Caenorhabditis elegans: one gene and its partners. The protein of the gene in region 2 purifies or fractionates together with the protein of the main gene of each other region. This does not show direct contact. Each region holds a gene or a part of one and is shown on either strand. Other genes may lie near its edges.

Region 1 (4,290 bases), on a different chromosome or scaffold from region 2:
GTTCCGCAGGGAGATTTACGCCTGGAATTCTATTTTTTTATTTGGAAAAGAAGGTTTTAAACTTTTGAAAATGTAAAGTTTGAAAAATTATAATAGTTTTAATCTTAATATATCGACGAATTTGAACCTTTTATCTTATTTCATCAATAAGAAAAAAGAAAACAAAAATTTAATATTCTTCAGCTAAAAAGGGCCAAAATTGTATGCTATTATTCGAAAAATCGACATTTTGGAATCTCGAAAAAAAAACCGAAAAATTTTCGCTTTTCGATTTAAAAAAAAGGGAAGAGCGGGATTAGCAAACAACTGGAAATTCTTGAGTGAATAGTATTTTTTGAAAGTTTAAAGTAAATTTTTATCAACAAATCTTCACCCTAAATGAAAATTATTGTTTGATTTAATTTTTTCCCCAAAAATATTTCAACAAACATTTTGCTTTTAATTTCTTCCGATATTTCGGTTGACCACAATTAAAATTTTAAAACACTCACCTGAAGCCAAAGTACTTGTAGCCACAAGAATAACAATATTTTTCTCCCGAAATCCTAGTTCAATGCATTCTCTTTCCTCCATCGTCAATCCAGCATGATGATATGCTACTCCCCATGCAAGTGTTGACATAACATTCCGATCCTTGCAACCATTCCGTTCCAATCCATGCTTTATAAATAATAGTCCATTGGCTCGTTCTTTTAATATTTCCAACAATGAGCTGTCGGTTTTATTGATCTCATGGAATCTCGACGCAATATTCAAAGCAGTCTTCTCGGCATCAAGTTTCGAAGAAATCATTACCAAAGTCTGAGAATTGCGGCGAAAACTCTCTTCGGTAAGCAATATTAATGGATCTTCAGAGAATTCTCTTAGAACTTTGTTATCTCCAGATTTCCTCAACTCCGAACCAATTACAATATGATTTTGTAGAACAATTGGTCGAAATCTTGCTTCGAAAACTTTCGCACCGTCCAGCCATTTGCCTATTCGATAAAGTTCTGGAATAGTTGCACTCATTCCGATAATTCTAACTTTTTCCAGTGCAGATTGGTTCCAGAGCAAAACTTTCGAGAGCATGTGCTCAATGTGTGCACCACGAGACGAATCGAAAACCATGTGCATTTCATCAACGACTATCATTCCTGAAAGCTACTTTTTGTGAAAATTTTAAATTAAAATCGATTTATCTAACCAATTTCCTCAAACCAATCTTCTGATAATGCTCGATTTGTCAAACTTGCTGCTTTTTCGATGGTACAAACTGCCCCAAGCCACTCATTTGGATTTGAGGCCTGTGGACCAATGAAGCCACAGACAGAAATGTCATCTCGTCTCCAACACCGTTGAATTTGATGAAGTTTCTCTCGAGCCACGGAGATATAAGGAAGTACGAAGAGTACCTTTCTACCAGTTGAAGCGACTTTCCATGCTGAAAATTACAGTTTTTAAACATTTATTCTTTAAACCAGATAAAATAATACATAAAAGTTCAGCTACAATGCTTTTCCCAGCACTTGTTGGCGCACTGAATATCAAGTGTTGATCTTCAAATTGTCTTGCCTCATTCAACACATCAATCTGCCAATCGAACAGCGCTTTGATGTTCTGAAATTAAAAAAATTTTGTCCCTATTTCATCACAGCGATTTATGTTACCTGCTCTGCGTAATAATCGATGATTTTTGAAGAAACCCATTCTGGAAATCTACAGGAAGCCTCGTCCATCTTGTTTCATACTAAAAACTCTGATTTCAGACTGAAAAACATGTTTTTTTCAGCGAAGAAAACTAAAATTTGTTTGTGGCCGCGGTGGCCTAGTTTTCACGGCCGAGAAATGTCACATGTTTTGGCGCGCTCTTCGGCGAATTCAAATAAACTTTTTTGTTTTTAACAATTTCTAACTTTATTTTTGTGTTTTTAGAACTGAAATTCCATTTTTCAGGAGAAATGTCAAACGTTGTACTAATTGTGTATGATCCGCGGATGATTTCAAAGTATCTTGGTCAAAAATTGCATATGGGCCTTGTCGCCGATGACATTATCAAGCCAACCGTAAGTTTGAACAGAATATTGAATTCATCAGCACAAATAACCCGATTTCAGGCAGAAATAGCGCAACAAATATTTGCTAATTTTGTGAGGCTTGTGTTAAATGTGTCGGAAAGCTCGCTGACGACCCTTCCGCTGTCCGCCAACTGTGATTATGATCCAGAATTGCATAAAAAGAGCATTCCTATCATTATTCTCTTCCAATGCATGTAAGATTTTAATTTTAATGTTAGATTTGCTGAAATATTTTTTCAGGAAAGCATTTATCAAAGATAATTCTGGCAACAAGCTGGACTTGACGATGTGCGATCTCGTGACACCTGCAAAACACGAACATCGATTCAGAAAGCTGACAAGTTTTCTTGTAGATTTTCTGAAACTTCACGAATTGGCCACTCCAGCGTTCAATGAAATTAGCGAAGAGTTCAGTGATCGAAAGTTCGAAATGGAAAAGATTCGGGAAGAGTTGTTAGAAGCCGAGAAGAAGAAAAATGATCTTCTCGCGAAACAAAGCATAAGAAAACGTCATGAGCATGAATTAATCAACGAACAGAGCAATGCGAAGGCAGAACTTAAAAATGTTGTGAACGAATATACCGAAACTCGTCAAATTAATGAAGAACTCGACAAGCAGAAAGAAGAAGCTATTCTGCACATTCAAGCCCTCGAAAAGGAAATGCTAACTGGTAAAAAGACAATTGAGCATTTGAATGAAGAAGTTCTGACATCGCCGGAACAGCTGAAACAAGAAATGGAGGAAAGGAAACGTCACATTGAAGAGCTCCGCGATTGTCTTGAATCATCAAAGTACTGATATATCTTCAGTCTCTCCAAAAATTCAAAATAAAAGTAATTATTTTCAGAAAAGGCCTTCAAGCAAAACTCGAGGCTCGTGAAATTTGCATCAACTCGGAGAAGAACGTGCCAGTGATTATTGAGAAGATCCATCAGTGGACTGAAGTTCGAGAAGTTATCATTGACCTGATCGATGTTGAAAGTGAGAATCTTCGAAAGCTCAAGGAAATGGAGGAGCAATTGGATTTTATGATGAAGGAGATGGAAACGGCACAAAAGCGACTCGTCGAGCAGTCGGAGACTCATGAACAATTGCGTATAGAACACACGCAGAAAAGTGAAGAGCGTCAGCGTAGAATTGAGGAGATTACCGAGTGAGGAATTTATTTGATACTTTGAAAACATTTTTTTAAACGATGTAAATCTTTCAGGCAAATCGCAAATTTGAAAACTAGTCAGCCAGATGTGTCACAGGAAATTGCTAAAAAGGTTTTTGTCAGATCAATCTTCATAAAACTCACCAACATTTTTTTCAGAAGCAAGAACTCCTCGCTCTAAAAAACGCACACAGTGAGACGATTTCCCAAATCACCAACTCTTGCCAAGATGCTGTTGCAAAATTCGCAAAACTTAATGCAATGTTCAAAGAAACCCAGAAAGTAGCTTTTGAGAAGAACACTGCAGCTGCACGTGAAATGGAACGTCTAAAAAGCTCTCTTACCGGACGCCTTCTGAGTGATTACACATTCGGATCATCGACAATCGACGCCGGAGAGAACACGGAAAATTGTGATCCACAACCTAACGATTCGAGTTTTTCCGTTTTCAAATAGAATGACTCAACTCGAAAATTTCACTTCATTTGATCTCTATTCAATGTAAATGTTATGCTTTCTTCCATACCAATAACAAAATTTTAACTGAGTCTAAATAAATCATGTGGTCTTTATTTTCAAATGTTTTCTTTTCATTCCCAGGCTCTAGAAATTTCACACCAATTTACTTTTCAGGTAAGAATTCACTCAAGTGGTATTTACGGGGAGATTATGTGCCTCTGTTTTTAATTAAAAATAAAATTAGAAATTTTGAATTTTTTGCCTTGTATTTTTTTGTTTGCGTCTTTAAGACTACAGTAAGACAAAAAGTGGGCGTGGTTTCTTATTTTGGAGAAAGCTCAAACAGGGAATAAGTGAGAGTCGGAAGTTTTGAAACGTTTTTTGAAAAAAAAATTATCTTGAAATGAAAACTTTTCCAGAAATTTTAAACTTCTCTTCGCTCATTAGCTCTACAAGTTGGAATTGTCCTTCTGAATTGAATATTATCCTACCAAAATTCTAAATAAATTTAAATAAATCGTGCGGGCCTCGAGTTATTGCATTCAACATTGACATTTTTCGTTCATTTCTCAATTTTTGTATTGTATTTCTGAAAAATTCACTCTACAAATTATGCA
Region 2 (3,859 bases):
ATTAAAAGAATTAAAGATTTTTTCATGAAATCTCACAAAATTTTAAGAAAAAAAAAGGAACATCGCAGCTTAAAAAAAAACAAAAAATAATTTTTTCTCAAAATTTAATTCCAGCGTCTACTACTGCCCGACATGCATGCTCCAAAACTATGCAAATTGGGAAGATCGCCGAGAAAGCGGAGAGCACACGTTCTGCTTCGGCTGTGCGTGCAATCATATGGATGAGCACGAGCACAAAATCAAGCAGCTCGGCATGGGCTCCGAGATCAGCCTGGAAATTGATAAAGACGACGGGAAAACTTTGGATGACAAAAAATCGTGTATTTCGTCGAAAAAACGTGTTCTGTACTTCCTCTCGATCCTTGTAATTGCTGTGATTATTCTTTTTGTTCTGTGTATTTATTTCAAAATGATTTGATTTTGTGTTTCTAGACGATGAAATACGGGTCACAAAGATGTTCGGTGGAATGATTGTATGCTATTTTTCATGTACCTTTTCACGATTTTTCTCAAAAATAAATTTATTTTTATATAGTTGTTTAAGTTGGTAAATGTGTAGCTTCATAAGCACTCAAATTTGAGCTCAAGAAAAAAATTAGCATAGGATTAAAAAAAAAGAAAATAAAGAGAAATCAAATATTTAAAATATCGATTTTCGAACAAATAAGGTTAAACTGGAGACATTCGTGTTGGGCTATCGGGGACAATTCTCTTCTGGCTTATAAGCTGCTCTTGGCTCTTCTCCATCACATGGAGCACTTCAATAGCATTGTTCACTGCTTCTAGCTCGTCATGTCGTTTTGCCAGTTTGATGCGGAGCTGAACATTTGGAATTTGAAGCTTTTATGTGAAAATTGGAAAGGTTAGATGCAAAAACTGGCGATTTTAGCAGGTTTCTAAAATTAAGCAATTTTTCTTGAATTTTTTGACGATTTTCAGTCTAGTCGCGGTCATTTTTACTCAACTTGCAGCCTTTTTCAGTCATTGTAGTCTATTTTGGACAGTTTTAAGCTATTTTCAGTATATTTTCCGCATTTTTAAGTCCATTTAGTAGTGAAGAAAAAAAAAATTCTGATAGGTTCCTCATTTATTTTTATTTACCTGTCGAATTTTCTCCAATTTCTCGTCGAACTCCTTCTCGACCTGTTTCAGACTTTTGTGCTCCTTGGCCGACGCGATGAGCATTTTCTTCTGAAAAATGATTTTTTAAATAAATAATTTCCGAAAAAAGGCAATTCTTACGCATTCTGGAAGAGTCACAGAGGCGGGAATTCTGAAGATATTTGTGACGCAGAATCTCTGAAAAAAATTGGCATAAATTCAGATATTTAATCGAGAAATATGTCAAACCTTCATCATTTTGAATGCTTTCTCGTTAGTTTTGTCGCTGAATGGGAAGGATAGCAAGCAGAGACGGTCTTTGTCGGTGAGCTGAAAATTAAATTTTTTAAAATTAAATTTCTTTTTTGAAAAAAAAACCTTTTTCAATGAGTTCTTAAACTCATTGCTGCAAACTTCTTCCCATGCGTCGACGTAAATATTGAAAACTGAAAGATTTCTGATTTTTCCGCAAAAAAACGTTCGAAAATTCAATAAAACTCACTGGAATCGCTGAACGAACCGGCCGAAAATCCGAAAAACGAGATTTGATTTTCATTAGAGATTCCCGACAATTCGCTCTCCATTTTTAGTTTCTGAATTGAATTTTTAAAGAATAAATGTTCAGGATTAAATCAAGAAATGAGGGCGAAAAACTGTTTTTGAAGATTATTGGTTCGCGGGAGGTGAGGTGTGCATACACGCTCACGTCGCATTGCGGACATGGAACATGGATACATATTTATATTTATTATTAAACAGGCGTAAAAATTTTGCAATTTTCCTCCAAAAATACTGTTTCTGGTCTCGAAACGACAATTATTTGTTGAATGAAACGGGTGTGCGCTTTTAAGGATTACTGTAATTTCAAACTTTTGTCGCTGCGGATATTTTATCGATTTTTCATGGTTTTCTGTGTGACAATAGTTTTGTTAGTTAAAAACTGGATGAAAATTATGAAAAATAAATAAAGAAAGTCTTTAAAAAATAAAAAATGACGGAAAATTATCCAAAAATTGGAATTTTCTCAAAATCAAAAGTCGAAAATTGTCGCTTTTTCCTTTTTTTTTTTAACTCTAAAAATCGGAAAAAATTTATAAAATCAAAAAAGGCATATTTTTCGATTCTCTGGGAAATTCCTATCGCATTCAGCACAAAATTGTCGTGTCGAGACCTGGTACCGTATTTTCGGTGGAAAATCGCAGTTCCTGGGTAATCAATAGGAGGAATTAAAAAGTTAAAAAAAAAGTAATTTTGGCTGTAAACCAATAAATAAAACAACGAAACAAACCTAAATACCTATAAATTCCAAGTGCTTTATTCTAAAATTCGATCCTCTAAAAATCTCAAAAAATAAATCATTTATTATTATTATCATCTTCGAAGGGCGTGGGCGCTGTCAAAAGTCCCTGATCCGTTTGCCACGTGGAAGTGAACTTCATGAAGGCGTCTCGAGCATCCAAAGCGTCATATTCCCTGGCGAAAGCCTCAAATTGTGCTCTTTTTTCTTCAACTGAAGAAGCGATCCGTTCGATTCGAGACAATCTTCGTTTCAGCTGCTTCCGTTCTATCGGTGCAATTTGCTCGTATGAGTCGTCGGGAAGCGGTCTAGAATGTTCACCTGACTGAAAAATTTGATTTTATTCTCAAACAAAAACCAGAAAAAGCTGACCTGATTTACAAATTTCAGGGTTTTCCAGAGACATTTTCCCAGAGATGCTTTGAGTTGAATCAGGGTGATTGATGTTTCATCGTTTTCTGAAATTGGATTTTACAGTTGGATTTTACAAATTTGCCAAAAAAAAAACAAATTTTGTAATGAGATTGCCAAAGAAAATCTCAAAATTTTTTTTTGAGTGGTTAAAAATTTCGAAAAAGTGGCTAATTTCAGCTAAAACTCCTAGTTTTGGCTGATTCGAAAATTCAAAATCGAATATTTTACCAAAAATTGGAGAAATTGTCCAATTTTTTCGAAATTTTAATCCCAAAAATCTTTTAAAAAGAGATTTTTCAGAGGTTCCATTACGAAATCCGTACTCCCAGAACGGACCACTCTCATACGCCACCATGATACAGAATCCACGAAGTTTCGGTTTTGAAGAGAACGAGAAAAGAGCAGTTTGAGGACGTTTCGTTTCGTTTAACAAGTACTGTGATAAGGAAAAAAGAATCTTATTTCCAAGTTTAGAATCTGTTGTAATGTCCATTTTCAGCTTATTTGATCGTTTGCTTCCCAGGAATCCCTGACGGCAGAGCTCGATTTCAGGCAAAAATCCGAGAAATGAAATAGAGTCGATCAGTGTTACATGGCTTCCTATTTTTTGTTTCTTGAATAGCTGCAAATTTGAAATAAATACTTGAATTTCAAAATTTCACTAAAAACACCTTAATCTTGAATTTATCGCTTCCAAATCTACAAATAATTTCCTTTTCGCTCATTTTTTGCCGTTTCTCCGCAATAATTTCTCGGTTCAGTTCTTTCAAATCAGCGGGACACAATAAGAATCGTAGGTTTACACTAGATCGTTCAAAATTTGTAGCAACTTCCTTTGCAGCTTCATAATCGTCGTAAAGAGTTTTCAGTTCACCGATGACGTAAACAGTAAGATTTGGTGGAAATTCGCGGTCGAGCAATGCCAGTTTCTAAAAAAAAAGGACGATATTACATTAAAATTATATATTAAATAACAAACAATATTCAGGAACATCTCGACATCGATGAACCAGTGAAATTTCTTGATTTTATACTCTGTTTCGCAGC
Region 3 (5,705 bases), 260 kb from region 2:
AATTCTCAGAAGACTACCATAAACTTTTTTGCGCGCCGAGACCCATCTGAATAAATCCGTGCGCCTTTAAGAAGAATCTTAGAATACATGGAAAAATCTTGTAAAGTGACAACATTTCAAAACGAAAAGCTGATTTTTTTCTGGAAAAGCGCGCAAAAAAGACTTACTAAACGATTGACAGGACGGCCGCCAAAACCAGGCGACACGGGAGGTGGCGTGCATGAATACCTCAACGGGCCGTCGCTTATTTATACCCCTCGCCTCTTCGTAAATATCCAAATCTTATATATCCGGTATATATCACGCTTATGACGACGACTTAGTGATAAATATGTGTATGTGTGTGTGTGGCTCAGCCGGATATACAACCCATTAGAGCAAATTGAAAATCGCTAATCTGAATTTTTGCTAGGCATATGGAGGATGTCGCGCAAATTAAAGAAAAATAAATAAAATTTATTGGAACAATTCACCAGATATAAACTAAACATAAAAAAGGATTGACAGATTCAAACTTTATTCCCTTTAAAATTGCATTATTTACAGGTATTGGGATTAGATGGGTTTTTTGACATTGCTAAATAGTGGAGCAATAGTTATTTCTTCACATATCATCTTCTTCATCGTCGTCACTATCGTGACGTCGCCCACTTCTTGCATTCTGTCTTTGTTGCTTCTTTTCCTGCGCCAAAGCCCTTTTGTTGGCCTTATCTTTCAGCTCTCGCTCGGTTGCTGTTCTGACGTCAGCAGTTCTGTAATAGCACAAACGCGGATCCTTGATGACAACGGCCGTCACACCAGTCAATCGCTTGCAGCCACTAATCGGCGAATTGACATAAACCGGTTGTTCTCCAAGCCACGAACGAACAGGCTTCACGCGGACACGCGTCGATCTTCGGACACCGTCTGGAGCATCTTCTGGCTTCACTGAAAATGTTTAAAGTTTCGAATGATTGCATTAATTAATTAAAACTCACTGAGTTGATGCTCTTTCAGTTTCATACCCCTGTGTGTTCTCGGACGTCTGTTTCCTTTAGAATTCGGTTCAGGATACCATGTTTCGTCAACGAATGTGTCGTTTGGGCGTCTTCTCGACGAACTAGCAAGACCAAGAGCAATCGAATCACCTGAAATTGTTTTAAAAACGTTGTTATTTGTGAAGTAACACTCACTAAGAAGCCCGAGTCTTCTAGACGACTTTTTCCTTGGATCTGGACGTGCTTCCATTTCTTCTTCGTCAGAAGAAGATCTCATTTCATTTGTATCGTCCTCTGGAAAATCAATGGCACTGATATCATGTGCAGGCTCTTCGTTGACAGTCAGCGCATTCAATTCGATGTTCAGGGAGCGATTGCTTGAATCTGCTGCCTCATCCTCACCATCGACAATCACACCACCATTTTCAGATCTTTTTTCAATGACCTCCGTCGCCTGATCCTCCTCATCATCCTCCAAAACCATGCGAACAGCGGCTGAAGAAGTTGTAGCAGTAGTCTTCGCAGGCGTATTCTTTCGTGAAGTTTCCTCAAGCAAACGATTAGCATCTTTCATATTCATCCTTTTGACGAGTGAAGCGAAAGTAGGCTGTTCATATCGTCGTGCCGGGGTCACTCGATTCACAGAATCAACGATATCCATCCTAGTCGGTGTTGAGAGCAGTGCAGCCCGAGCACATTCGACATTGTTGGTGGGTCCAATATTACGGATAGAATTATCCGTGTGCCGAATCGATCTGGAAAATGGAGAAATAAGAATAATATTCCGCAATTCGAAAAAAAACATACTTTGGAGTTGCGGCTTTCGATACATGCATTGGCTCCACTTTTTCTGGAACTTCTGGAACCGGCGAAACTCGAGATGCATTGAATGTTGGAGAGATATAAGACGAGCCAATAGAATCCGCTTCCATTGTTCGTTCTTCAGCTACCGATTCCATCTCAATCGTTCGCTCCTTATTCGATTCAGTACTAAGTCTGCTGGTTGCCTTGATTCGTGGCGGCGTTTGAACCACCGGTCTGATCTTTTTTCGGGGATGTTTGAAGAAGTTGGCTCCCGGCGATTGAATTTCTTCCTTTTCGAGCATACTGTTGTGAAGAGGATTAGAAATACTGGCATTACGTCGTTCTCGCTCATCCGAAGTGACTTTCGACGTTCTCCGTTTTTCTCCTCCTTCCATCGTGTTTTGTGCCAGTACTGGAGGCTTCACACCAACACTCGTGGTTCCTTGCTCGTATGCATCTCTTTCTTCAATAATAAACGTCTTTTGAAGAGTTGAATCGTTATTTTCATCTCTGTTAGCTACGTTGAAAGTTCTTTGAAGTGATGACTCATCTTTCTCGGTCGGCTTTGTGAACGTTTTCTGTAGAGAGGAGTGTTCTGCATCTTTAGCCACTGTGACCGTTCCCTGCATTTCCGAGCTCTGATTCTTCTCGATCGTCACCGTTTTCTGAAGTTCTTCAGGAGCATCTTTAGCCACCGTGAAGTTTCCTTGCAGCTGAGAGCTTTGATTCTTCTCGATCGTTACCGTTCTTTGAAGCTGTGATTGCTCTTTTGATGCATCTTTAGCCACCGTAAACGTTCTTTGCATTTCCGAGCTCTGATTCTTCTCGATTGTCACCGTTTTCTGAAGTTCTTCAGGAGCATCTTCAGCCACAGTGAAGGTTTTTTGCAGCTGAGAGCTGTGATTCTTCTCAATCGTGAGAGTTTTCTGGAGTGTTGACTCTCTCTCCTCGAGAATGGTTGGGATAACGACAGACTTGGTGTGAACAGTCTGAAACGATATAAAAGTTAGTTTAAATATCTTTAAAACAAACAAATTTTACCACTCTTTCAGCATCTAGTCGATCGGTATTGACGACATGTGAAATATCAAGCGATCTCAAGGACCTCATCGACGTATCACTCGAGCTCTTGGGAGTTGAACAACTTAATCCAGCTTTTCCACTCTGAAATTATAGATTTATTAAACTATGAACACGCAAATTCATCTCATACCCCTCTGGAATTAGCAATTGGCGAGCCCATCATCGACTTTTCACTGATGTGTTTCGGAAGCGCCGGAATGGCAAAAACCGAAGCGCTTCGGACATTTTGATTCACAGTGTTCTCGCTGTCGCTCTCACATTCGGAGTATTCACGACAAGCAATCAACTCTTTGAAGGTTTTCGCTCCGTACATTTCCTTTTCGAGACGTTTTCTGGCCTGAATATAGTTTATTAGGTGTTGAAAAGATTTTGTGACTGAAATTTACATTGTTAAGCTGTGTTTGTTTCCTTTTCTCCAAAATAGCGAACATCTGCTTCTCAGATAGTCCCTGTTTTCTCCATTCTCGCTCCTCCAAATTTGCACTATCATTCATCATCGATTCATCGACGATAACTGTTGGTTCCTCCAAGTACGACGGTCTTGTATCGTCCAAGCCAGCCTCACGAAGAGCAACGATTTCAGTGATCATTTTCTGAAATAAACAAAATAAGTAAGCAATCAAATTACCATAATGTGGAACTTTTTTTTTGTAAAAATCAAACATTTGTTAAGAATTTTAAAAATCTGAATCACTTACTCGACCAGGAACAATCGTACTGCGGGTTCGCGGTTTTCGATTCATTCTGCAATTTGATATCGTTTTGAAAAAAAGACAATTTTAAGAGGTGAATAAATATAAGCAAACTTCTCGATGTCAAATGGGAGCTAAATTTGAAAGTGGCGGTTTTGCATTGTACAACGGAGCGCGTTTGGTTAGAGGGGGAAGGCTACGAGAAGAGGATAGAGGAAACGTATTTATTGTTTTCTTTTCGCATTCAAAAGGCAAGAAGGTATTATGAGCCAAATATTGATTGATTTTAAGGGAGAAAGACACAGACTTTGTATAAAATAATAGCCGAACCAAGTCAAACGCAGTTTTGAAGAGAGGCCAATCGATACGCTTTGGTGAAATAAAGAAAAATGAATAATACTTCATCGAGATCTATTTATGCTTGTTTTCACGAATTTCAACAAGGCCTCCACGTCCCTAACAGTAGAAAATACTAAACGCAGAATTTATTAGTAGTTTTCTAAATAAAATTCGTGCAATATTAGTTGAGCGGTAGCTCTTTAAAGTACATATTGATTTCAACCAAGTTCTTCGAAAGTTATTTCAAGCGCGTTTTCATTTTTTTTTCTAATGATCCGCAAGAAAATAAAATTTTAAAACGAAAAGAGAAAAATAGAATAAAATCAAAGCCTAAAAATCAGACTCTAAAAATGATTTTTCCCGCCTGTCGGTATCAAGTGTACGGTATTCGTGGTGAGACCCGCGCCCCCGCGCAAAAAATTTTGAACTTTTGCGGAGATGTTTGCACAGACAGCATTTAACTTAACGCAATTTTGCATGCTTTCTATACTTTCGAACATTTATTGAGACCCGAAGAACTCGGGGGATGTCCAATTGGGGGGATTACCAACTCGGGGGATTGGCCTCACCCACAGAACCGTGGTTTGCAATACGCCCATTTCTGCAAATGCCGCACGGTTTTAAAACTGTATTTTTCTCAATAGAGCGAGAATTAACAAGAAAAAATAATTTTAAAACCGTGCGGCAGTTGCAGAAATGGGCGTATTGCAAGCCACGGTTCTGTGGGCGGGACCAATCCCCTGGTAATCCCCCCAATTGGACATCCCCCGAGTTCTTCGGGTCTCCATTTATTTTTTGTTTTTGCCTTTTTGTCTTACAATTTTGAAGGTTTCCCTTCATCGATTTCATCCAAAATTGAGAAAAAATGTTTACAAAATGTATTATTTTCATTTCTTCCAATTTTCTAATTCAGATTTTCCCTAAAACATTTGTGATTCTTGATTTTTTACTTTTATCTATATGAGTGACGTTGTTTTGACAGCATATTTGATCAAATTTCTAGAAATGGTTTGTTTTATCACTACTGTTCATGCCTTCTTAATTTCAAATGATCTTCAAACATTTATATTTGTGTTTTCGGTTATTCTTCATGTGTTTTTTATTTGATTCGTTTCAACCCATCCAAATGCGCGGTCTCTCGCTCGATCTCTCGTCTCTCTGCGTTTCCAGTGTAAAAGAGAAAGGCGAGCAACAACTTCTATCATTTCTCACGTCGCTCGTCAAAATAGTTGTCTTGTTTGTTTCTCAATTTTAACATTCTCTCCTGTTTTGACCATCTTTGAAATTTTTGAAAATCAATATCAAACAATTTCAGCATTCAGAAAAATGAGCTCCCTCAACAAGTTGGCTATCGACCAGTTGAACCTCGCCGGAAAGCGAGTTTTGATCCGTGTTGACTTCAATGTCCCACTCAAGGATGGCAAAATCACCAACAATCAACGTATTGCTGCCGCTGTTCCAACCATTCAGGTAATCAATTCAAATTTATTTCAAACAACATTTTCAATAATATTCAAAATTTCAGCATGCTCTTAGCAACGGAGCCAAATCTGTCGTTTTAATGTCACATTTGGGACGTCCAGATGGCAGACGCCAAGACAAGTACACCTTGAAACCAGTTGCTGAAGAGTTGAAGGCTCTCTTGAAAAAGTTTGTTGTATAATCTGATTTTAAAAAAATTACAAATGATTTTCAGAGATGTTCTCTTCCTCGACGACTGTGTCGGATCAGAAGTGGAGGCTGCATGCGCCGATCCAGCTCCTGGATCAGTCATTCTCCTTGAAAATCTTCGTTATCATCTGGAAGAGGA

What was found. Proteins that work in one complex are often made in the same cells at the same time.
Region 1: the proteins of mis-12 (region 2) and him-10 purify together in Caenorhabditis elegans (affinity purification with mass spectrometry, with the first as the bait; one study listed by BioGRID). This does not show direct contact.
Region 3: the proteins of mis-12 (region 2) and hcp-4 purify together in Caenorhabditis elegans (affinity purification with mass spectrometry; one study listed by BioGRID). This does not show direct contact.

The regions. Positions count from the first base shown.
Region 1 is NC_003281.10:5,801,325-5,805,614, forward strand, and holds him-10 (Kinetochore protein Nuf2 homolog), read left to right. Parts: upstream 1-1,935; 5' UTR 1,936-1,940; coding exon 1,941-2,045; intron 2,046-2,096; coding exon 2,097-2,251; intron 2,252-2,297; coding exon 2,298-2,849; intron 2,850-2,905; coding exon 2,906-3,211; intron 3,212-3,268; coding exon 3,269-3,326; intron 3,327-3,373; coding exon 3,374-3,670; 3' UTR 3,671-3,788; downstream 3,789-4,290. Other genes in the region: polq-1 (DNA polymerase theta), read right to left, coding at 1-21, 492-1,136, 1,187-1,423, 1,476-1,599, 1,650-1,718; R12B2.3 (Ras-associating domain-containing protein), read left to right, coding at 4,286-4,290. UniProt on the Caenorhabditis elegans protein: Acts as a component of the essential kinetochore-associated NDC80 complex, which is required for chromosome segregation in mitosis and meiosis and spindle checkpoint activity.
Region 2 is NC_003279.8:3,604,010-3,607,868, forward strand, and holds mis-12 (uncharacterized protein), read right to left. Parts: upstream 1,695-3,859; 5' UTR 1,686-1,694; coding exon 1,604-1,685; intron 1,548-1,603; coding exon 1,480-1,547; intron 1,432-1,479; coding exon 1,351-1,431; intron 1,300-1,350; coding exon 1,243-1,299; intron 1,192-1,242; coding exon 1,102-1,191; intron 897-1,101; coding exon of another isoform or gene 864-896; exon of another isoform or gene 820-863; coding exon 670-819; 3' UTR 506-669; downstream 1-505. Other genes in the region: Y47G6A.31 (RING-type domain-containing protein), read left to right, coding at 115-418; Y47G6A.25 (uncharacterized protein), read right to left, coding at 2,457-2,723, 2,771-2,856, 3,149-3,434, 3,484-3,741, 3,792-3,859.
Region 3 is NC_003279.8:3,862,331-3,868,035, forward strand, and holds hcp-4 (HoloCentric chromosome binding Protein), read right to left. Parts: upstream 3,609-5,705; 5' UTR 3,608-3,608; coding exon 3,563-3,607; intron 3,458-3,562; coding exon 3,251-3,457; intron 3,202-3,250; coding exon 2,995-3,201; intron 2,946-2,994; coding exon 2,823-2,945; intron 2,771-2,822; coding exon 1,785-2,770; intron 1,733-1,784; coding exon 1,173-1,732; intron 1,128-1,172; coding exon 978-1,127; intron 928-977; coding exon 605-927; 3' UTR 503-604; downstream 1-502. Other genes in the region: guk-1 (guanylate kinase), read right to left, coding at 168-222; pgk-1 (putative phosphoglycerate kinase), read left to right, coding at 5,222-5,365, 5,421-5,545, 5,592-5,705.